Linked DNA regions of Lonchura striata. The protein of the gene in region 2 binds, or shares a complex with, the protein of the main gene of each other region. Links are inferred from orthologs where the notes say so. Each region holds a gene or a part of one and is shown on either strand. Other genes may lie near its edges.

The links.
Region 1: PRPF8 (region 2) and PPIH share a complex: the UniProt entries of both Homo sapiens proteins name them as parts of the U4/U6-U5 tri-snRNP complex. The link is inferred for Lonchura striata from reciprocal best matches to the Homo sapiens genes PRPF8 and PPIH.
Region 3: PRPF8 (region 2) and SART1 share a complex: the UniProt entries of both Homo sapiens proteins name them as parts of the U4/U6-U5 tri-snRNP complex. The link is inferred for Lonchura striata from reciprocal best matches to the Homo sapiens genes PRPF8 and SART1.

What each region holds. Positions count from the first base shown.
Region 1 is NC_134626.1:8,516,754-8,524,834, reverse strand, and holds the start of PPIH (peptidyl-prolyl cis-trans isomerase H), read left to right. Parts: upstream 1-4,973; 5' UTR 4,974-5,126; coding exon 5,127-5,192; intron 5,193-5,533; coding exon 5,534-5,598; intron 5,599-6,202; coding exon 6,203-6,226; intron 6,227-6,716; coding exon 6,717-6,761; intron 6,762-7,171; coding exon 7,172-7,214; intron 7,215-8,081. UniProt on the Homo sapiens protein: PPIase that catalyzes the cis-trans isomerization of proline imidic peptide bonds in oligopeptides and may therefore assist protein folding. Participates in pre-mRNA splicing.
Region 2 is NC_134622.1:6,932,086-6,939,582, forward strand, and holds the start of PRPF8 (pre-mRNA-processing-splicing factor 8), read right to left. Parts: upstream 3,111-7,497; 5' UTR 3,041-3,110; intron 2,924-3,040; 5' UTR 2,914-2,923; coding exon 2,814-2,913; intron 2,741-2,813; coding exon 2,572-2,740; intron 1,865-2,571; coding exon 1,700-1,864; intron 1,619-1,699; coding exon 1,400-1,618; intron 767-1,399; coding exon 554-766; intron 440-553; coding exon 314-439; intron 236-313; coding exon 130-235; intron 1-129. Other genes in the region: TLCD2 (TLC domain-containing protein 2), read right to left, coding at 5,754-6,119. UniProt on the Homo sapiens protein: Plays a role in pre-mRNA splicing as core component of precatalytic, catalytic and postcatalytic spliceosomal complexes, both of the predominant U2-type spliceosome and the minor U12-type spliceosome.
Region 3 is NC_134638.1:688,562-696,343, forward strand, and holds the start of SART1 (U4/U6.U5 tri-snRNP-associated protein 1), read right to left. Parts: upstream 3,109-7,782; coding exon 2,799-3,108; intron 2,336-2,798; coding exon 2,284-2,335; intron 2,205-2,283; coding exon 2,149-2,204; intron 1,345-2,148; coding exon 1,218-1,344; intron 44-1,217; coding exon 1-43. Other genes in the region: amino acid transporter heavy chain SLC3A2, read left to right, coding at 4,293-4,740, 5,797-5,973, 6,356-6,450, 6,534-6,602, 6,762-6,826, 7,486-7,675. UniProt on the Homo sapiens protein: Plays a role in mRNA splicing as a component of the U4/U6-U5 tri-snRNP, one of the building blocks of the spliceosome. May also bind to DNA.

The sequences.
Region 1 (8,081 bases), on a different chromosome or scaffold from region 2:
AGATGTGACACAACTGTTTTGAGTCTTTAACCATAACCATTCTAGTCTCACAGGTAGATGGCTGGACAGATGGAGAGAGCAGGGACAGCCAGGCCAAAGGGAAGGATGGTGAGATGGATTGACATAGGATAGGTGGGAGAGTGGACAGATGCTAAGTTGCCTGGATGGATGGACAGAGAGAAGGACAAAAGGACAGATGAATGGATGGACAGATGGCTGAGTACTGATGGACATCTGTGACAATGGGTGTCCCTCAGGGGCCTGTACTGGCACCAGTGCTATTCAAGGCTTCATCAATGAAACAGACAATGGGATCAAGTGCACCCTCAGCACACTGGCAGAGGACACCAACCTGAGCAGTGTGGGTGACACGCCTAGAGAACAGATCCATCCAGAGGGACTTGAACAGGCTCAATCAGTGGGCTGACAGGAACTTTATGAGGTTCAACAAGACCAAGTGCAGGTGCTGCACATGGGCCATTGTAACACTCAGTATCAATACAGGCTGTGGGATAAAGAGATTGAGAGTAGCCCTGCCAAAAAGGATGTGGGATGCTGGTGAGAGGCTAGACATAAGCTGTCCATGTGCACTGGCAGCCCAAAAACTAACTGTGTCCTGGGCTGATCCCCATAGCATGGGCAGCAGGTGAGAGGGGGTTCTACCCCTCTTCTTTGCTCAGACAGGACCCCACCTGCAGTGCAGCCTCCAGCTCTGGGTTCTCCAGCATAGCAAGGATGTGGACCTGCAGTCCAAAGGCCATGGAACTGCTCTGAGAAGCTCTGCTCTGGTGACAGACAAAGAGCCAGGGATGTTCAGCCCAGAGAAGGCTCTAGGGAGATCTTAGAGCCCGTTCCAGTGCCTAAAGGGGCTCCAGAAGAGCAGGAGAGGGACTTGGGACAAGCTGGTGTGACAGGAAAAGGGAGAATAGCATCATACTGATATCTATCAGGGTTAGATGGGACACTGGGAAGAAATTCTTCCCTGTGGAGGTGGTGAAGCACTGACATGGCTTGCCTATAGAAGCTGTGGAGCTGAGAATGTGTCACTTTTACTCAAGAGCATCCCTGAACCAGCCTTGGAACTTGATGCCAACTTGCCTCACTGGCAGTCTAGAGAGCTGCCTTCCAATCAGCTCTACCAGCAGGACATTGCCAAGGTATTACTGTGCGTTTCGCTTTTCTTTTTCAGGAACCATGTTCCACACCCGGAGACAAGCCTGTACCAGGAGTGCTGTGATGATTCCCACTAGCTGTCCAGGTCAGAGACATGCAGGTAAGGCACCACAGAGGAGACAGCACCATGGAGGACACACTGCCTGTCACTTCTCTTGCAGGAACTGGGTTTAACAGCAGGAGGGAGCCAGGGCACAAGGGCTCATAAAATCAAAAAATGCATCAAAAAGCAGCAAGTGAAGAGAAAAATGTGCAGATTATCAAGCCAAGATAGTGCTTTTACGTAACATCTGCCAGCACAATTGCAGTGAAAAGCATTGGGAGGTCAGGGAGTGGCTGAGTTCAGTGCCCAGCAGAGAGCCCAAGAAGACAGGAGAAGACAGAGGAGATTAAAAAGATGGAAAGTGGAAACTGAGGCCACTCATAGTGTGCAGGCCCTGGAGAAAGACACTGTTGGTTGAGCAGATTATGAGGAAGAGTAGTAACCTGGCTTGTATTGCAAGTTTTACATGATTTGCAAAGGTGTTTTTTGATGTCATGTGTACCTGAGAAGGTAAGAGGACAAGACACAAAGAATTTGTTTATGCAGATGCAATACATGTAGCTAAATAATAATTTATCTTGGTATTTCTGTAGTAAAGTATCTTTCCCTTTCTCAGAGGCTGCTGAAGAAGTGACTTTTACACAGGTCACCAGAGCATGACTGGTGCCAAGGAAGATCTCTGCACTTGGATGCTCATCTGGACCGTGCTCCAGCTCACATCCCCTACTCCCAACACCTTTCTCACTGGACTAGGTTGCTAGAGGGCACAGCAGTCCCAAGCACTGGCAGTGGAGCTTGAAGCTTTTCTCATTTTGGAGTGAGCTTCTAAGCAAGCTTAGGAGCTGGTGCTTTATACTTTCTGTGATAAAAAATGCCTAAATGTTTGTCTTGGTTTTGCCTAAGAAACTGATTTCTGGGATACCTGAGAAATAGGGCAGAAGGTATATGAACTGCAGCTTGTGTGAGACACTGCAGAATCATCTTCAAGGTGAAGTGTTGTCTTTTTTAATCAAACTCCACTGCCCAATTCTGCCAGGAAACCAATTTCTTCACCAAAAGGAGTAGCAAGAGTGGAAACCCACCTGCTTAACCAAACACCCATGTTAATGGGGACTGTTAGTGTCCATGTTTGCAGTCACTTGGTTTCCCTGTCTCTCTTGCAGAGACATCTCTCCCTGGATGTTGCATTTGGGAGAACAGGACTCACACACAGGGGAGCTGAGCCTCTGATCCAGGAGCCCTGGAGACACTGTTCCTGAGAATACTTTTTCCTTGAGATCGCTGCATGCAATACAGGTGTAAAAGCTCCCACCTTCCTGCATCACAGGCGAGTGTTCATATAGGAAGCCTTGAGTTAAACAAATTTTTAAAAACCCTGTCTGTTGTTTCTTGCATGTCTCTTTCTGAGTAGTTTTTCACCTTCAGGAAACAGTAACAGACCCAAACTCTCTATAGGACAATCAGAAACACCAGATGGGACTGGGTTTGGTTTGATGGTTTTATTGTTTCAATCATAAATGTCAGGTTTAATGGTCAACATTCTTCTGAGATATCTGCAGCCTTTAATGGTCACTGGCAGGTTATGCTGGGAAGCTTAGTGACCAGTACTGAACAGATCCATACAGAAGCCATATGCACTTGAAATGATTGTCAAGGAGTGAGGCAACTGTTGCTATGTTGCCACTTTTTAGTTCTCCTCTCTTGATGATGAATGAAGAAAAGTTCCCTTTCTTCATTCTTGCACCATCCTTCCCTGAACTTCTGCCATCAGGAAGCTCTTTCTGTCCCTGTGGGAACAGCTGAGCAGGTTCTCATGGTCATTTCCCAGCTGGTGGTGAGGGTGCCCTGCTTTTCCTGGGGGATAGAATGTCTGGCTGACTTCTATTCAAGTTCTCCCCCTTCTCAGTGTGTGTGGGCTTTTTACACCTCCTTGATTTCTTGCAGACTCCTTGAGGCTTCAGCCCTGTTGTTTTCTGGCACATTTGACATGACATGCAGAAGACTGAAACAGCACAAGGCTTTGGAAAATAGACCACATTTTTCCAGACATGTCTGGCCCTTTCAGGCAGTGACTCATCTTTACACTCTCAGATGTCCATTTTGCCTCTTTTCACAGCTGGCCCTTCTCAGAGAGCATGCATCTGGCAATTTACACAAGCCCAGTTCAGTGCCAGACAGCAAGGGAGAAGAAATGGCCTGTCAACTGCAAGACAGAAAGAACTTACCTGGACAAACAGCCATTCTCTCCTATGACAAAAAGCAAAACCCATCAGAGAAGACAGCAACAGGATCAGTAACACAAGAGAGAGTATATTCTGAATATCCTTTCACACTTGCTCCTACCTGGCATAGAAAACTAAGTATGTATTTTGGCAGAGAGAAGTCTTGAGGCATCATTCATCTTGTACCACTGCCCATCCCTGGCCTGCAAAAAAAGGTATTTTCAGATGAACTGCAGTGGTTTTTAAAGCAAAACCACAGCTAGGACGCACTGAAGGACACAATCCACCAATGCAAATCACTGAGTAGATTTTCACCCTCAGGAAACAGTAACAGACTCAAAAATAATCTTTAGAGTCATTAGGAAATGCCCTGAGGAAACTGTGTCACCAATCACAGGCTGAAGGTATAGAAATAGATCACCTTTGTTCACCAAAAGCAGGCATTGCCATTTTGGCATTTCAGTGGCAGAAAAGTGCTCTGCACCAACCCATTTCTGTACATGCCAAGTCAGGGCTGATCTTCACCCTGGAGCCTTCTCTTGCCACAAGGAAAGGGCAAGGCCCAGCTACAGCACTGGTTGTGACAGCTGCACTCAGCCATTGAGTGTATACATGACTATTCCCAAATCAGGATTCTCATCCAGGAGAGGTCTCTTTCCAAGCAGAAAAGTTGCAGTGCACTTGTTTACATACCTTGCTCATCTTTCTGCCACAGAAAGCATGACTTCTGCTCAAGCACACTCAGGACATTGAAGGATGTCCTGTAAACTTCTCAAAGGCAGTGTTCAGATGATCAAACCTTGAAAACAAGCACAGACCTAACTGTTGCAATCATAGAATTAGTGGCAAAGATCCTGAAGATTGAGACCAATTTCTCCCCCACCACTGCCAAGGTCACCACTAAACCATGTCCCCAAGTGCCACATCTACACAGCTTTTAAACCCTTTCAGGGATGGGGACTCCAGCACTATTCTGGACAGTCTGTGCCAGGGCTGGACGAGCCTTTCCAGAAATTCTTACGGATGTGCAACCTGAACTTCCTCTGCAACAACTTGAGGCCAGTCCCTCTTGTCCTGTCCTTTGTTGCCTAGGAGCAGAGCCTGACCCTCACATGACTACATCCTTGTGCCAGGGAGTTGTGGATAGCGAAAAAGTCCCCTCAAGCCTCCTTTTCTCCAGGCTGAGTACTCCCAGCTCTCTCAGCTGCTCCTTGTACTTCAGACCCTTCCCCAGTTCCATTCTCTTCTCTGGACATACTCCTGCCCTGCAATGTTTTTCTTGTAGTGAAGCTCCAAGAACTGACCCCAGGACTAGAGGCACATCACTACAGGTGGGTGGTCACTGCCCTGGTTCCACTGGCCACACTGTGGCTGGTACAGCCCACGTGCCATTGGCCTCCTTGCCCACCTGGGCACAACTGGGCTCATGTTCAGCCGGCGTGTGCCCAGGGGGACAGGGAGTTGAACAGCAGGCCTTCCCAGCCGAGCAGTGGTCTACTCTGGGGAGTCCGAGCTGTCCCAGCAGGATGGAGCTCCGGACGCCACCCCGATACCGCAGACACAGTCTGGACACACCGAACACATCCCAGACATCCCGGAGAACCTCACCCCCACAGCCCCGCCCTGTCTCTCCTTCCGTCCCCGTTTCCACTTCCGCCGCCGTTTCCGCTTCCGGCAGTGGTACTGCGATGTCGGCTCTGGCGGCGAATCCAAACAACCCCGTGGTTTTCTTCGATGTAACCATCGGCGGGCAGGTGGGGATGCTCCAGGACGGAGTGGCGGCGCCCGCGGAGGGACTGCGGGGATAACTAGGGATGTCGGAGTCTTGTGGGGATGAGAGAGCGCAGGAGGTGCGGGGGCTCAATGTGGGGCTTGCGGGGCCGCAGCTGGAAGCTCTGGGAGGGGCGGTGCCAGGAGACGGATAGCGGGCCTGTGGGGAAGGGCTCACAGGGGAGAGGAGAAGCACTACGTTAGGAGGGACGGGCATGAATGGGGGTGAATAAGGTGACCGGATCTGTGGGAGTATTCGGGGTCGGGCGGCAGGCGTCTTTTTGTGAAGGGACCTGGAAGACTCACCTAGCCCCCGTCTGCTTAGGATGTTGGCCGCATGAAGATCGAGCTGTTCGCAGATGTCGTACCCAAAACAGCAGAGAACTTCAGGTAATGAGCAGCTACTGTTCCTGCAGCTCAGCCGGGACTGGAACTGCAAAGGCTTTCTGGTGCAGGAATGGCTTTTGGTAGCAAACTGATTAGCTAACTCCCACCCCAAACTGCTTCACCTGCTTTGTGTCTCTCTGTTCTCAGAGATGCTGTGTGGCATCCTGGGCTCTCAGGGGACCCTGTCTGGCTGGAAGGGGTCCTCCTCTGCCCTCCTCTCTGAAGCCTTCTGATTTGCTCCATGCATTTAGAGCAGACAGTGCCTTGTGTCATGGTGGAGGTCTCCTGGTCATCCTGTTTTCCTGCCATCAAATGAGGAATGCACCATGTGAAATCCCACTTCCATTGGAAGGATGGACATACCCTGCTCTCTATCAAACACACTGTCTGCCCCATATTCACAGTGTCTTACAACCTTGGTGTTAACTCTCTGACCTCCTCACGACAAAAAGCACAGAATATGTTTTGAAATGGCAGGGGGAAGGAATTGCCAAATCCTGTTTCTCTGGGAACATCTCTGACACAATAAGGAAAATCCTGTGCACCAGTTTGTGTAGCCCTCAGAGTTCACATGCACCTAACACTCTGCTCTCTTTTTGTTTGCCAGGCAGTTTTGTACAGGTGAATTCAGGTAAGTGGATTATAATGTCCTTTAAGTGTCCCACTGAGAAACAGGGCTGGGTGAGGTAGAAAGGGTTTGTCTTGAACTTTTTTATGTTGTACTAGTACAAAATGGAAGAGAAACCTGCTCTGAGGAAGTTGTGAGGGGCTTGGAGACTCACAGAGATGGCAGGTTTCGCTTTCTGATATTACTTTTTTTGTGCCCACATGGCTCTATAAGCTCTATCTGCAAAGCCCACCTGCTTATGCTGCACATTGCAGTGGGATCCTGTGAAGGTGATGATGTGGGTGTTATAGGGAACAGAGTCATTCATGTGCAGAGCCCACTTGAGGCTTTTTTTTGCCTTCAACAGCAGCAGCTGAGAGGCTGCGGCACTTGTTTGTATTTCAAGGCAGCTGCTAATGTACACAGCAACCCTTTGGGACTCTGAATTGTTGGGACTATTTTGTGTTGGGATATCCGGTAGGTTGCAATAATTCTCCTTTTCACTGCCCTACAGGAAAGATGGTGTCCCTATAGGTTATAAAGGAAGCACTTTCCACAGGTAAATCGTAGACCGTTGTTTGCACACTAAATAGCAGCCTGAGCCATACAGAGTTTTGTGAGCTGCCTTAAGCTATTAGTGGTATTGGAGACATTTGCGGATCATGGCTAATGTAATTCTATGGCTTTGGGGGACCTGGGGATGCTGTCCTCCCCACTGGGAGGAATCCCCTGTTTCTGGTGTGCTATGTCAGATAAGGCATCTATCACACAATCACTATCTCTGTACAAAAGCAATGAGTCCTAAATGACCTCATATCAACAGTTAATATTTATTGTAGATTTTAGGCTGCAGCATTCACAAACTGTGTTAACTTCTGTTGCACAGCAAGGCAGAACCTCTTTTCATGTTACACTGAGCTTCTTGAGGCTTTTGGCCACTGGGAACTAAGTGTTGTTTTACTTCTTTAGGGTAATAAAGGATTTCATGATCCAAGGAGGTGACTTCGTAAATGTATGTACTCTGGTACTCTTTTTGTCCTTTTCCTCTATGGTATAACATGCTACAGTTTCCAAGGGTCTTTGCTGATTTGTGGGATCTCCTTCTTTTCTGAGGTATCCAGTAGTAGCTGGAGGTATGCTCATAGCATTGCTGCCATCCTACTGCAACAGACACTAAACCTCTTGAAAAGGAATCTGGAGCCTTGTGAACAGGCATTCTTCCCAAAATATTTTCTCTCTGCAGTAGCCTATCAAAACCCTGGAAGCTTTCAAAACTTGAAAAATTTTGTTTGCCCTGTTTTCCTTCCCCCTTCTGATGTCCTCCTCCAGACAAAAACCTCTGTGAATTTCAATTCATATTGTAGATAGACCCTAAATACAGAACCCAGTGCGTAATGTAAGAGGTCATTTAAATCAAAACTAACCTTTTGTTACTAAATTGTCTCAAAATAGAAAAGTCTTTGCACCCACAATGGTGGTTGTGCTCTGACACAGGGATAAGAATATATGAGTAAGGCTGAAGGGTCACGGTATCTTCATTGTTCTAGGATCCAGTAAAATTATTTTAATTTTGGAAGCATTTAAAAATATGAGGGAAATTATAAAGCTTTTTTAATAAACAGCTTGGTTGTATGAAAGTCTCTGAGAGAAATGACCACACAGCAGGCGGTTCAGCAACACCAGACTCTGTTGTAGTTGCTAGTTGTGACACTGCTCAGATGAACCAGTGCACTGTATTACTTGCACTGTATCTCAACAGACTTTACAGATTGCTCCAGTATTTGGAATTGATATATTGTATTTATTACAAAGCCACAGTCACACTGACCCCTGAGACAGGGTGCAAATTTCTGTCTCAGAGCCAAAAGTTTAAGTAAAC
Region 2 (7,497 bases):
GACAACTGTGGATTATTTTGTCAAAGGGCTGCTGCCTTCTGAAACATCTGTTTGTTTGCTGCTATCAGAAGATACTAAAGGCCCCTACTTCCACTCATAGGGTTTATCACAGTTAACCCAGTGACTCACCTTGACAGAATGTCTGTGTGAAATGGGGTTGATCAGAGGATCAAAGTAAAAAGCTGGGAGGTCAGGATCTTCTGTTTTAATGAAAACAACATTTGGAGTATGATACCTGCAAAAAAATAAATATGCATTAGAACCTCTGACAGCCTTTCCCTCCTCTCCTGGCTCTGGAGGCTGCTGCTCTTACCAGGTGAGGTGGACATGGTGGGGCAGGTTGTTGTACAGGTAGGGGAAAGCAATTTTGTACTCTGTCCTGATAGGCTGCCTGATGATGATTTTGTTGATGTCATTAAATTCATTCCAGTCTTCATCCCTTAAAACGAGACAAGAAACTGTTATGCAGGCATTCAGGGTGAGAGAGACAGAAAACACCCCATCAGCCCTCTCCTAGACAACCACTCATCTCTCTCCCAAAACCAACACTTACTGAAGATTGATGTCCCTGACGAGGGGCTCAAACTTGGGACCTCCAGGAATGGCCATGTTCAGTGCCTTGGAGGTGAAGAAGGCTTTCAGGTCAAACAGGTAGAAGTAGTTGTCATCCACCAGGTCAGTGAGCAGCTGGTTGGCCAGGCGGTACAGTGTGGACATCATGGGGAGGGTGAACTGCCAGCGCTGGTACGTGGAGCCGTTGACGTACCTGGGAAAGCAGAGCATGGACACTCCACACACAGAATAACCAAACACCTTCTGCCACCCATCCTTCATCAAGAACAGATATCTGCGTGTCTCTAGCCTGAAAAAAAGGCTGCAGCACTATTAAAGACCACTCTAGACTCCTCCTGCCCAGAAAATGCTGGCTGCTCCAGTTCCTCTTCTCCTGTGTCTCAAGTGACACAGAACATCTGGGCACCTTTAGCAAATTCCAAATTCCAGCTACACAATGCAGGCTGTCAGCTTTACAACATGGTCAGAAACACCAGTTTTAGGAAGTAAGTGGGTAACAGGCCTCCTGGATAGAGGAGCCTTGCTGGATCCTGAACCATAGAATCCCAGAATGGATTTGGTTTTGCTTGGAAGGAACCTTAAACCTCATCTTTTTCCAAGCCTTCCACCATCCCAGGCTGCTCGGAGCCCCACCCAACCTGGCTTTGGACTTCTGAGCAACCTGCAGGCAAAAGATGCAGCTTTCCAACACTCAGCTTTTCCCTCCCATCCTTGAGGGAAGGTTTTTCTCTCCTCACCAACATCACACAAAGGTTACACACTGCTCTGTGCACGTCATTCATGCACTGTTTGTTTTTTGTTTTTCTCCCCCTCCACAGCCACTTACTTCCTGTTGTCCTTCAGAGGCTGGTGGTCATAGAACCAGTCCAGCACAGGGGCATCCTCCTCTGGATCCAGCTCCAGCTGAATGGCTTCCAGGGGCTCCACATCCAGGATGTTATCAGCATAATCCAGAGGGGGTTCTTCATCGTCAAACGGGGGGAATCTCATCCTCTTGAAGTGGCGCCTGTCCCTCTTCTCCCGCCTCATCATAATCCACATGGAGCTGCAGGAAATCAGGGGTAGGTTAAAAGCAGGGGGATTTTATGGTGGGTGCAAAAAGGTGAAAGAAGCAGAAGGCACCTACCCCCACTGGGCAATGTAGACAGGTTCGATGACCCAGGGGATCTCGTTGACAAAGGAGATGGCGCCCGTGATGTGGTACAGGACGGGAACGTCCCGGATCTGCTCCCAGGGCATGGGCATGTTCTCCAGGAGCTTCAGTACAGCATGGGGCATGTACTTCAGAGCACTGCAACCACAAACCAGGGAAAACCACGCTGGAGTGGCTCTCAAGGACAGCCAACCACCTGCCACGAGCCCAACAACCTCCCAGTTTTCCCTAGGAACTGCTCATCTGACCTGTTCAAAAAGCAAATCCATGGATCTCCCACTCTACCTTTGGATTATCAAAAGGTTTTTTAGTGATTTGGCTTTCAAGAATGTTGCTAACAGAAACTGAAGTTTTTAAGTTAGTTCATAGAGTTTTTTAGGTAATTGTAACTTATTGCAGCAGACCATGATGTGCACTAGACAGCTCTCTACCCCCAAACAGCACTCAGGATGCTTTTTAATCTTTAAAAAAACATTCCACACTCTCCCCAACTCCTTCTAAGACACTCAGTTATGCAGGGTCATGTTTTTTCTCATAAATTCAGAGCAACAATTCCCTTTGCTGACGCTCCTTTGCACTGATACCTCACAGCAACAGATTGAGCTACAACTGAAAAGCTGAAAAGCCTTTTGGAGAAGGGGCTTCCCCTTCAATGATGCATTATCCAGGCTAATGTTTTTTCTCATAAACTCAAGGCAACAACTCCTTTTGCTGATCCTCTTCTGCACTGACACCTCAGGGCATCCTCACTGAGTTACAATGTTCACAAAAAGCCTTTTGGAGAAGGATCTCTCCCTCCAGGGCAGCAGCAGATCCCCCTGTGCCCCACACCGGGGGTCCCTTACCCCAGGTAGACTCGCTTGTCGTGACGGAACTTCCTATTGGTCATGTCGCCGTGGTCGCGGATGATTTTGCGGACATGCTCGGGGGGCATGTCCTCCTTCTGCGCATCCACGAAGCCGAATTTCCTCTTCTCCGCGTAGCGCTTGGCCTGCAGCTGCTGCCACTTGCGGGCTGCGGGGACACAGAGGCGGCGGCTCAGGCCCTGTCCCCCGCGGAGGCTCTGGGCCGCCGGGGCCGTACCCACCTTTCTCCTGCAGCTTCTCCTCGGACATGTAGTCGGGCAGCGGCGCCAGCGGGTTGGGCACCGGGGCGCAGCCGCCGCGGTACGGGAACACGGCGGCCATGGCGACGCAACTGCGCAGAGAAGATGGAGAGGGGCTCAGTGCGAGGTACGGGACCACGACGGGGCCGCCGCCGGTCGCTCCCCCGCCGCTCCCGCGCACCCCGGGCCCGCCGCTCCGCTGCCCTCACCGGCAGCCGCGACCCCCGCGCTCCCCCACCACAATGGCGGCCCCGCGCCGCCGCCACCGCGCCTGCGAGACCCGGATGTGGGCGGGACTCGCGGCGCGGAACAGCCAGTCAATTTTTAGGAGATCTGACAGACAGCAGGTTTATCCTATCAGAGCGCGGAGCGGCGGGGGAGGCACTGAGGGCGGAAGAGGGGAGCAAGCGGTGTCTGGCGCACATTTCCGTTGTGGTGTCCCGCTTTCCCCGGTCCCGCCCTTCGCTGCTTCCGATTGGCGGAGACAGCGCGGCAGCGCCTCTGATTGGACAGCGCCTGGCGTAGCTCACTCCGCGCTGCTTTAGGGGGCGCCCCTGGCCGGGTCGTGCCCCCCCCCCGCCAGTGATGGTAGGGGCGGGGGGCGCCCTCAGGGCGACATTTTGGACATTTCGGACACATCCCGGTGATGTCCGCGGTGGAGCTGCGTGGGGACATCCCCCACGGGGCCTGGACATCCCCTCAGTTCGGCTGAGCCCGTCTCAGTCACGCCCCCGTGCCCCAGGCAGGCAGGGGGATGCCGCTCCCCAGTGATGCACTGCCCCCATGGCTACACCATGGCCCCAGCAAGCAGCCACCCACTCGTTGTCCCCTTCCTGCCTCTCCACAGGAACACAGATGGCCCCCGACCCTCAGTGTTTGCCCAGCAGCTCACTGTGGGTGGGTTCAATGTGTTCTCAGGGCCCCTCAGCAGCCAGGCGAGCTCTTGCCTCAGGGTTTTGCCAGGGTGGAAGCTCCCATGGGGAGAGGGGTTTGTTCGGGGGGTGATTGGGTGGCAAGCCGGGGTGTTACTCCCCAGCAATTAATTCCCTGATGGAGATGCTCCTTCTAACCCCGTGGTGGTGGTATTCCCACCCCTATACGGTGGGAACAGAGTGGTGAGTCCTTCCCAAAACCTTTCAAAGCGAAGCTCTGGCACTTCCCATCGGGATGGGCAGGCACAGGGCATCCCCACGTCCGACCTGGGTGACCTGCAAAGCCGCTGCTTTTTCCCCCTTAGCCCTGTGGGAAAACCACGGTGGATTAAGAGGTGCCCAAACCAGGCTGCCCTGGCCCCCAGCCCCACATCCATGTGACGGCAGGAATGTGGGAACACAATCCAGGCCTTGAGAAGCCTCCCGACTGTGGGCTGGAGAGCAGAGGCAGCGTTGTTACCTGTGCAGCAGCTCCTGGAAAATTCGGAATACGTGGGTCAAAGCAAAGAGAAAGCCTTGGGTGACAGTTTTGCTCCAGCTGGGAGCTGTGAGTGGCACACAGGTGCCTCAGCACTGCTTGAGGTTACGTACCCAAACCTGGAGTAATTGTGCCCAGCACCTGGAAGCTTCCCTGCCCTCCACAAATAGAAACGTAAGCGGCTTTAGCCTCCAGCCTCACACTGCCCATGGATCCCTCATCTTTCCCTGTCTCTGTCCTCAAAACATGTGCCACCCTCTCCGAGCAGTGCCTTGCTCCAGCCTGTCCCCAGGGTCTTCAAACCAAGGGAGAGATTTTGTGTTAAAGCTTATCCGCCACACAAAAGAAAAGGTGACTGAGCCGGTGGATTTCTCCAGACTGCTTCACCTTAACTCCAAGTAGGATGATCCTGTTATATACACAGTGCTGGGCTGCTGGGGAACAGTCCAGTGTGAGAATCAGTGAGGAAATGTGGAGTGGAAGAATGTTTAAAAACCTTCATTTTCCTCCACAGAAAGGAGAGGGGTGGGGAAAAAACCCAACAAGAGAGGTAGAGTGTGCCAGTGTACAGTGTATTTTCACTCCATGGCAGGGAGACTGGGGGTAAGGACTGGGCTAAGCAGTGACACCCCCAGATTGGGCTGGGATGATGAGTCCTCGTGTCCCCTCTCAGTCCTTTCCCCTCAAGCCACTTCATTTGCAGCCATTTATTAAAAGCTCATGTTAGTAAGAGCCTTTGCTGTCAAGTGAGAGCATTACCCCGGGCTCTGCAGCACAACTTGGCACTCCTAACAGATGCCTGAATCTTAAAAAGTGCCTGAAAACCCCTCATGTGTGAGAAGTGACCATCACACAGCATCCTCCTTCCAGCCACTCGTGCTCTCCCACGCTCATTTATGGGCACTTGAATTATCTGGGGACAAAACATGATGGAAAAGCTCCAGTTGCCAGGAGAGGTTGGGGCTGCCCCCACAGTGGGCAGCTGCCACCCAGCCAGGTCTCAGCCTGGGAAATCTCCTCAGGGAGGGCTCATCAGTGCAAGGTTTGTTTTTTACTGACCATCACCTTGAAGGCAAAGCCTTGGAACCTGTCTTGCTGGTGGTGTTCCCACAGGAGATGGCACGGAGAACTCAGTGTCCCGTGGCTGATGGGACGCTGCAGCACCAAAGGGGTTGGAAACACTCGGTGGTGTTGGGATGTCTGGAAGAGCAGTGGGGAAACAGTGCTGCTCTGCCCCCGTCTCATCTCAGTGGTGCCTCAGGGAGCTGTGAGAGCTGTCGAGGCTTCTCTCAGCAGCTCCCGCTTGTCCAACCACATCATCCAAAAGCGTCTGGGGAGCAGAGCCACCGTGCCTGGTCCACGAGCACCTCCTCTGCTGTGCAGGGCCCAGGCTCTTGAGCCACAAGCAAAGCCTGGATGCTCTGTTAGTGCAGCCCCTCCCTGCGAGGTACCAAAACATTCACCCTCCACGTGCTTCCACGGGTTTGGAAGTGCCCCTTCTCAGGGGAGGGCCTATTCCTCCTTCTCCCTCCTGGATTTGAGGAAGTCACTCCGCAGCAGGCGGTAGAAGAGGATGACGTTCATGGGCGTCATGATTGCCATGCCCACCGTGCCCACGGCGTAGGTGGCCGGGGGCACGTTCTGCCGGTTGAGGAAGAGCCAGCGGCTCATCCAGGCCAGCGTGGCGATGCGGAACACCACGTAGGTGCCCAAGTTGATGAGGCTGTTGAGGCGGTAGCAGGTGGTGTGCACCAGGTTGGCCATGAGCATGATCTGCCGCAGGTGGAGGAAGATGGAGTTGATCTCCACCAGTAAAGCCACGAGGGCAAAGCCGACGTACTGGTGGAGCAGCACGGCAATCCCAAAGCAGATGATCACCTGGGAAGGAGGGAGAAGAGAGGCTGAGCCCAGGGGCTGGTTGCTCTCAGCTGCTGCAAGCTGGAACCCTCCACACTAGGGCACAGCAAGGAGCTGAGGTGGAAAGGATCATCAAACCACGGGCCACCCCTGCAGCATTGCAGCCTCTGGCACTTCCCTCACCGTTGCATGAAACCTGAGTGGGGTTTTTTTGTTGCAGTGAGAAGAGAAGGAAGCAGCTCTTTAAGCCCCAGGCTGGCTGAGGAGACAAAGCAGCCTGACCTAACCCTGCTGTTGTGGCCTGGAGAACGTTGTTGTGGCTCAGCAGGTTTTTCCACACACAGTGAACGGACAGGAAGGGAGACTGTAGCCCAGGGCTACGCCACTGCTGGCTCAGGGATTGTCCCCAGGACAGGCACCCTGCAGGGATTAGGTGGCTTTGGTGTATCAGAGAGCCCCCTGAAGCACCCTGGGGCTGTTTGGGACAGGATTCCTGCCCCGCACCCTCCCTGCCAGGCAGGGGGACAGGCTGGCCTGCCCACGCTTCAGCACACTCAGTCCTTTCTTTGGTTTATGCCATTAGTGCTGTTCTCTGTATGGGCTCTGTAATGAGATTATCGGCTCGTTAAATCACTGTCTTGGCTTGAATTAGCTCCATTGTGGAGGTGAACTTTTGGCTCACCAGCAGCAGCCAGCAGAGCCCCAGGGCTCACTGACAGAGAGGTTTGACTACCCAGTCTCATCTCAGGTGAGTGCCAGCACTGTCCCTGTCCCCATCCCCAGGCCCTGCACACCCCTGAGCCTCCCCTGAACCCTGCAGCATCTCATGGAGCTCAGCTCCAGGCCGTGCCACCCCCCTGCCCTGCAGCATCCACAGTCTCAGCACCACGGAATTGTTTCGGTTGGGAAAAACACTCTGGCACGTGGACAGCAGAGGTGACCAGAGAGAAACCCACACAGGGCACAGCAAGACAGGCAGAGGGCACTGAAGTGGGGCTCCTGCAGCACAGCTGCTCCAGCCACAGTAGCCCCAGGTGGGAGGAAAGCACCCTGGGCAGGGGAGGTGGATGAAGGGGTGTGCAGCCCTTGCTGGCAGGTGCTCAAGAGGGCAAAAGCCACAGGAGGTGAGCTGCTCACCTTTGCCAGAGGGGACAGCGGGGTCACTGCTGTCAGTGACACTGTTGTGGATCAGCCCACACTCTGTACACATGTTTTTTTCCTACTCTATTGGGACACACGAGACAGGCAATGGACTTTGGACATGATTAGCATAAGATATTTGATAATCGGGATGCCTTGGCAAGAACAAACAGAGCTGAAAATTAAATCAAACTGAAAATTACATCAAGTTCTGTAAGCAAGAGATGTAAAATGAGTATGTTTGTTTATGTGATGATTA
Region 3 (7,782 bases), on a different chromosome or scaffold from region 2:
ATCGTCCAGCCAGGGTTCCTCCTCCCCCAGCGTCTTCACCTTCCTTTTTTGGGGCAAAAAAGGGATATTTTGGGGTTCCCAAAACGGCCTGAACCCCCAAAAATCCTCCTGGATCTCTTCTCTGCATCCCAGCGATTCCAGATTTTTCTCAATACTCCTAAAAACCTTTTCTTGCATCTAAAAATTCTACCCCAAATTCTTTTTTGTGCTCCTCACAATCTCCTAAAATATTCCCTGTGCCCTAAAATCTCCTCCCAGATGCTCTCCAAATTTTTCATATGCCCCAAAATCCCATCCTGGCCCCCCAAAATTCCCCCTGAAAATCCCAAATCCCCCCAAACCCTCCCGGGAATTCCCAGTTCCTCCCCAAACCCCCCAAATCCCCTCCCAGCTCCCCCAAAACTCTCCTAAACACCTCCCAAACCCCCCAATTCCTCCCAAATTCCTCTCATCCCCCCCCAAAACCCACAAACACCCCCAAATCCTCCCTAAACACTCCCAAATCTCCCCAAAACACCCAAATTCCTCCCAAATTCCTCTCAGCCCTGCCAAAATCCCCAATAACACCCCCAATTCCTCCTAAATTCCCCCCAAAATCCCTCCATACGCTCTCCCAGGCCCCTTACACCCCCCAATTCTTTCTCAAACCCTCCCAAATTCCTCTCAGCACCCCAAAAACCCCCAAATCCTCCCAGTTCCTCCTCAAATGCCCTTCAGCCCCCCCAGTTCCACCCCAAACACCCCCAAATCCCCCCAATTCCACCCCAAATGCCCCCTAAACCCCCCCAATTCCTCCCCAAACCCCCCAAAATCCTCCCCATATTCCCCCAAATCCTCCCCAATCCCCCCAAATCCTCCCTAAACCCCCCCAATCCCCACAAATCCTCCCCAAACCCCCCCAATTCCTCCCCAATCCCCCCAAATCCTCCCCAAACCCCCCCAATTCCTCCCCATATTCCCCCAATTCCTCCCCAAACCCCCCCAAATCCTCCCCAAACCTCCCCAAATCCTCCCCAAACCTCCCCAATTCCTCCCCATATTCCCCCAATTCCTCCCCAATCCCCCCAAATCCTCCCCAAATCCTCCCCAAATTCCCCCAATTCCTCCCCATATTCCCCCAATTCCTCCCCAAACCCCCCAAAATCCTCCCCAAATCCTCCCTAAACCCCCCAAATCCTCCCCAAACCCCCTCAATTCCTCCCCAATCCCCCCCGTACCCCAGTTTCTGGTTCAGCAGCCGTTTCTCCTTGGCCGCCGCCAGCTTCTCACGGATCTCCTCGCGCTGCCGCAGCGCCAGGGGATTGATCAGCTCGGCTGCCACCGGCTCCTCCTTGGTGCCCGCCTCTGCCCAGGCAGCGCCCCAAAACCGGCCCCAAAATCAGTGAAATCAACCCCAAAACCAGCCCCAAAATCAGCCCCAAACATCAGTGAAATCAGCCCCAAAACCGGCCCCAAAATCGGTGAAATCAGCCCCAAAATCAGCCCCAAACATCAGTGAAATCGGCCCCAAAATCAGCCCCAGGGCACCCCACAATCCACCCCAAAATCAACCCCGTAATCCACCCAAAAATCGGTGAAATCAGCCCCAAAATCGGTGAAATTGACCCCAAAATCAGCCCTGGGCAGTGCCCCAAAATCAGTCCCAGGCACCTCACAATCCACCCCAAAATCAGCCCCATAATCCACCCCAAAATCAGTGAAATTGGCCCCAAAATCAGCCCCGGGCAGCGCCCCAAAATCAGTCCCAGGCACCTCACAATCCACCCCAAAATCAGCCCCATAATCCACCCCAAAATCAGTGAAATTGGCCCCAAAATCAGTGAAATTGGCCCCAAAATCAGCCCCGGGCAGCACCCCAAAATCAGTCCCAGGCACTTCACAATCCACCCCAAAATCAGCCCCATAATCCACCCCAAAACCAAGGAAATCAACCCCAAAATCAACCTCAAAACCAGCCCTGGGGCACCCCAAAATCCATCCCAAATCACCCCCCAGCAGCACCTCAGAATCAGCCCCAAATCGTCCTCGGGGCACTCCACAATCACCCGAAAATCACCTCTGGGCAGCGCCCCAAAATCACTGAAATCGGCCCCAAAACCAGCCCCAAGCACCCCAAAAATCCCCCAAATTTCCCCAAAATCCCCTCACCTTTCTTGGCCGGGCCGGTCTCCAGCGGTTTCAGTCCCAGTTTGGCCCGGAGCTTACTGGGAACAGGGAAAGGGCTCAGGGGAGGTTTGGGGTGGGGGGACCCCAATTTTGGGGGATTTGGGGTGGGGTCCTCACTTGGTTTCTTCCACGCTCAGGGAGGATTCGCCTGCTGCGGGTTTAGGAGGGGCTGGAGAGGATAATTAATAAATTATTAGTAATTAATTAGAATTAGGGGAGCGGTTGTAACACTCAAAACCCCAAAATTCCCACTGAATACCCCAAAGTTCTCTTTAATCTCTCCAAAATCCCCTTTAACGCCCCAAATTTCACCTTTAACCCCCCAAAATCCCTCTGGGGTCTCTCTCATCCAAAGCTGCCCCCCCCAAACCCCCAAAATCACCCCCAGCTGCAACAACCCCCCCTCAAAATCCCACTAATTGCACCCCAAAACCTCCTCCAACCCCCGCAAATCCTCCAGCACCCCAAATCTTTGCTGTGCCCCTGAAACCCCCCCCAAAATCACCTCCAGCACCCCCGAGCCCCTCCCGACACCCCAAAATCCCCCCAAACTCCCCCTCAAATCCCTCCCCAAACCCCAAATTCCTCCCCAAAACTTCCCAGCCCCCCCCAACCTTTCCCCCCGCCCTCACCGGGCTCCTCCCGCTCCTCCTTCCTCTCCCTCTTCGCTCTCCGCTCGCTCTCGGTGCCGCCCCGGCCATGGCCGCTCCTCCCGCTCTCCTCGGCTCCTCCGCGCCGGGAGGAACCGGAGCCTCCCCCGGAGCCCCCGCGCTCGCCCCGGGAGCGGCTGCGCTTCCCGCGCCGCTCCCCGCCGCGGTGCCGGTGCTTGCGGTGCTCGCGGGGCCGCCCCGCGCTGCCGCCGCCGCCCGTCCCGGCCGCTCCCGGGGTCTCCTCGGCCGCCTCGGCCCCGCCGCGCTCCCGGTGCTTCTTCGAGGCGCCCATGGCCGCGCCGCCACTTCCGGGAGACAGCGGCACTTCCGGTGGTTGCCATGGAGACGCTTCCGGTGTTTGGCTACTTCCTGCGGAGCGCGGTGCTGATTGGCCGAGGTTTAGGCGGGACTTGAGGGGGCGCTGTGGGATGAACCATTATGCGCGCGGAGGGGTGGGCAGAATGAGCAGGATGGTTGTGACGCCGTCCTGTCCCCCCACAAAGGGCTGAAGATCTCCGTAAGAGGCACCGAGGATCTCCCGACTCGGTTCCCAGTGAGGAGACCCCGTGCGGTCTGCCCGATGAGGGGGCTCCGTAAATAGCGCACCCCCGGGGCACAGCAAAATGGCTGCGCCTAGCAGCGCTGAATAGAGACTTTGACAACAGCAAAATGGCGGCTGCTTGGGGTGTGGCAAAATGGCGGCGCATGGGGGGTACCCCGAAAAGGACGGGGGCGTAGAGAACCCTCCGGGAGAAGAAAAAGGCACGAGCCCCATAAGTGGCGTTCCGCTGAGCGGTGGCGCAAACCAGAGACTCCAAAACGCGCCCTCCGGGGCTCTGTCCCGCCCCGTTCGCCCCGGGGCGTGTCCGGCCCCCCCCGCCTCGTGCTCTTTGATCCGCCCGGGCCGGGCGCCGCGGCGGCGCCAGGGGGCGTGGTCAGTGAAAGTGGGCGTGGTTTGCCGGGGTATAAAAGGCTGCGCCGAGCCTCCCCCCCTCAGCCCCGTCACGAGGCATCGGCGAAGGTGCCGCCTGCTCTGAGGGGGCTCGAGCTCGGCGGGGCGCTTCTGGGGGGCGCAAAAGCCTCTTTGAGGATTTTGGGGTGTGCGGGAAGGGCTCGAGATCCCCCCCAAGGGCGGATTTGCTCGTTCAGGGACTCGTTGAGGTGCGGCCGCGAGGCCTGGAAAGATCTTGGGGCGTTCTGGGGCCTCTGTGAGGCTTTTGAGGTCCCTGGGGTGAGGGGTGTTAGATACTCAAGAGGAGCTTGAAACCCGCGCTAAGAGGATTTTAGGGTGCTACCGAGGAGGTTTTGGGGTGCGGGGAGCACCTTTGGATCTCTTTAAGACGCTTTCCCCACGGTGGGGGGGGATAAAGTCGGGGTTCAGAGGCCGTTCGTGGGGTGAGAGTTCAACCCCGCCCCGAAGCCTTTTGGGGCTCGGGGTTTTTCTGAACATTTCGGGGTGTTTTATTTCCCCCCCAGATGGAGCCCGAGGCGGCACCCCGCGAGCTGGAGCTGTCGGCGCTGGAGGCCGAGACGGAGCCGATGGCGGCGGCCGAGCCCGCGACCCCCGCGCAGCCTCCCCCAGCCCCGGAGCAGCTGCCGGGCGTGGAGAAGAACGGCCTGAAGATGAAGATCCCCCCCGAGGAGGAAGAAGAGGCTCCTTTAGGGGGTTCGGCGCCTTCGGGGAGCCCCAAATTCACGGGGCTGGGCAAGGAGGAGCTGCTGAGGGAAGCGGGGACGCCGCTCTGGGCCCGGGCCCGCCTGGTGCTGCTCGTGCTCTTCTGGGGGGGCTGGATCGGGATGTTGGGGGCCGCCGCTGCCATCGTGGCGCAAGCGCCCCGCTGCCAGCCCCTGCCCACCAAAGCCTGGTGGGAGCTCGGGGCGCTCTACAGGGCTCCCCCCAAGGCTTTTGGAGGTGATCTGAAAGGTGAGGGGGGGGTTTTGGGGAGGTCTCCTGGGAGTTTGGGGGGTGGGAGGGTCCCAGAGGATGGCTGGGGGAATTTGGGGGGATCCCTTGGGGGGGGTCCCATGAGGTGTTTGGGGGCGGTTTAGAGAGTAATTTGGGGGGTGGGAGGGTCCCAGAGGATGGCTGGGGGAATTTGGGGGGATCCCATGGGGGGGGTTTAGAGAGTAATTTTGGGGGTGGGAGGGTCCCAGAGGATGGCTGGAGGAATTTGGGGGGGGTCGGGGTCCTTTTGGGGGGTGGGAGGGTCCCAGAGGATGGCTAGGGAAATATGGGGGGATCCCATGGGGGGTTTGGGGGGGTTTAGAGAGTAATTTTGGGGGTGGGAGGGTCCCAGAGGATGGCTGGGGGAATTTGGGGGGGGTCCCATGAGGGGTTTGGGGGGGTTTAGAAAGTAATTTTGGGGGTGGGAGAGGGTCGAAGGGTCCTAGGGGATGGCAGAAGGAATTTGGGGGGTGTTCTCTGGGGGGCTTAGGAAGTTTGGGGGATCCCTAGAGGTGAGTTGGGGGTGTTTAGGGAGTCTCCAGCCTGGTTCTGGGGAGGTTCGGAGGGTTGGGGGCATCCCCAGGAAGGTTTGGGGGTCTCCTGGGAGCCTGTGAGGGGGGGGGAACACCCCATTTAATAAACCCCTAAAATGAATTAAAGAATATTTTGTGGGGGGAGTCGTTTCAGTGCCCCCCCAGCATGTGTCAGGGTGATTTACCAAAAAGAACCCACAGGATCAGATTGGGGACCCCCATTTCAGGACCCCCCCACCCATAAAAGAGCCTGGGGACAAGTGACTCAGCAACTTGGGGGGTTCCTCCACTTTAGGGGAGTCCCACGATCTCTGGGAATTGCTCAAAGCCTGAGCGGGCCCCCAAATTTTGGGGATTTTGGAGTTTCCTCCAATTTTGGGGTGATCTTGGGATCCTGGGAGGACGTTTTAGGACCCAGGGGCTGGTTTTGGGGTCTAGGTGGGATTTTGGGGTTGTGTTGTCGGGTCAGATTTGGGGTTCACCCCTTTTTCCTCCTCTCCAGGTGTGGAGAAACGTTTGGGGTACCTGAAGGAGAAGCTGCAGGTGGGGGGGCTGGTGCTGGGCCCCGTGTACCCCCAAAAATCCCCCGAGGCCAAAATCCCCCCCCTGAAGGAGCTGGACCCCACCCTGGGCACCATGCAGGACTTCAGCGCCCTGGTGCATGCAGCCAAGGACAAAGGTGAGCTGGGGGCACCCCAAAATTGGGGGGGACGACCCCAAAACTGGGGGCGGGGGGACACTGGGAGGAACCCCAGAATTTGGGGGAAATGTTGGATACGGGGCGGGGAAAAATGGAGAGCTTGAATTTGGGGGAGGGGCAGCAGAGAATTGAAGGGGAAGACCCCCAAAATTTGAGGGGCACAAAATTGATGGGGGGGGACACCCCCAAAATTGGGGGTGGGGGGGGAATGCAGTGGGAGCCTCAGTTTGGGGGTTCCCATGGTTGGCTGTTTAGCAAGGCAGAAGGAGCCCCCAAAAAAGGGGGATCCCCCATAGTGGGGGGGGGGGTCTGTGATGCTGGGGGGGTTTTGGGGTGCCCTGACCCCCCCATTTTCACCCAGGGGTGAAGGTGATCCTGGACCTGACCCCAAACCCCGCCGGGAATCCGGTGTGGGGGGACGCAGCCCAAGACTCTGAGGTGCACCAGCAGGTCCAGGTGGGTCTGGGGGGGCTGTGGGGTGGGGGTGGGGGGCTTGGGGGTGTGGGGGACCCCCCTGAACCCCCCCTGTGCCCCCCCAGGCCGCCCTGAGCCATTGGCTGAAGGAGGACATTGCTGGGATCTTCCTGGATGGCATCGAGGAGCTCCCGGTGAGGGGGCTGGGGGGGATTTGGGGGAGTTTGGGGTGGAATTGGGGGTTTGGGGTAGAATTTTGGGGGTTTGGGGGTTTGGGGTAGAATTTTGGGGGTTTGGGGTAGAATTTTGGGGGGTCTTTAGGATCTCTGGTGACCCCCGCTGTGTCCCCCCAGAACTTGGTGGTGGCCCAGTGGAGGAACCTGACGGAGCAGCAGCCGAGCCCCAGCGGTGTGGACAGGTGCGACCCCCCAAAAAACGTCCCTGTGTCACCCCAATGTCCCCCCAAACTCACTGACCCCAAAATGTGTCCCCTGTGTCACCCCCAAACTCACTGACTCCCCCCCAAACCTCTCCTCCTCTCACTCTTTGCCTCATGGGTTTCTTCCTTGTATTTTGGGGTGCTGGGAGTGCTCCCCTGACCTTCCCGCCCCCATTTTTGGGGTGATTTTCTGACCTTTTGCCCCTATTTTTGGGGTGCTTCCCTGGCCTTTTCTAGGTCAGGAAAAGGTTGTTTTTTGGTTGTTGCTCTGATCTTCATTTTTGAGGTGCTCCCTTGACCTTCCCCCACATTTTTGGGGTTCTCCTGTGATTCATCCTCCCTGTTTTCCAGGTGTCCCCCTGCTCTTTCCCTCCTCATTTTTGGGGTGCTCCCCTGACTTTTCCCCCCTGATTTTTAGGGGTACTCACCTGACTTTTTCCTATTCATTTTTGGGGTGCTTCCCTGCCTTTTCCCCCCTGATTTTTGGGGTACTTACCTGTTTCCTCTTCATTTTTTGGCGTCTCCTCTGATCTTTTGCTCCTCATTTTCAGGGCTCTCCCCTGACTTTTCCCCCTGATTTTCAGGGCTCTCCCCTGACTCATCCCCCCCATTTTTGGGGTGCCCCTGTCTGTTTTTAGGGTGCTGGTGGGGGGCACGCGCCTGCAGGACCCCTGGGAGGTGCCGCGGGGCCCGGGGATGCCGCAGCTGCTGCTGGGACCCTTCCTGCAGCCCCTGGAGCCCAAGGGCGACTCCAAGGCCCCCGAGGACGTTGTGAGGAACCTCCTCAACTTCCTCAGCTCCAACTCCTCCGTGGGGCTGGGCTGGAGCGTGAGTGCTGCCCCCCAAAACCTCCCCGGGACCCCCCAGATCCCTCCAGGAGCCCCAGAACCTCCCCGGGACCCCCCAGATCCCTTCAGGAGCCCCAAAACCTCCCT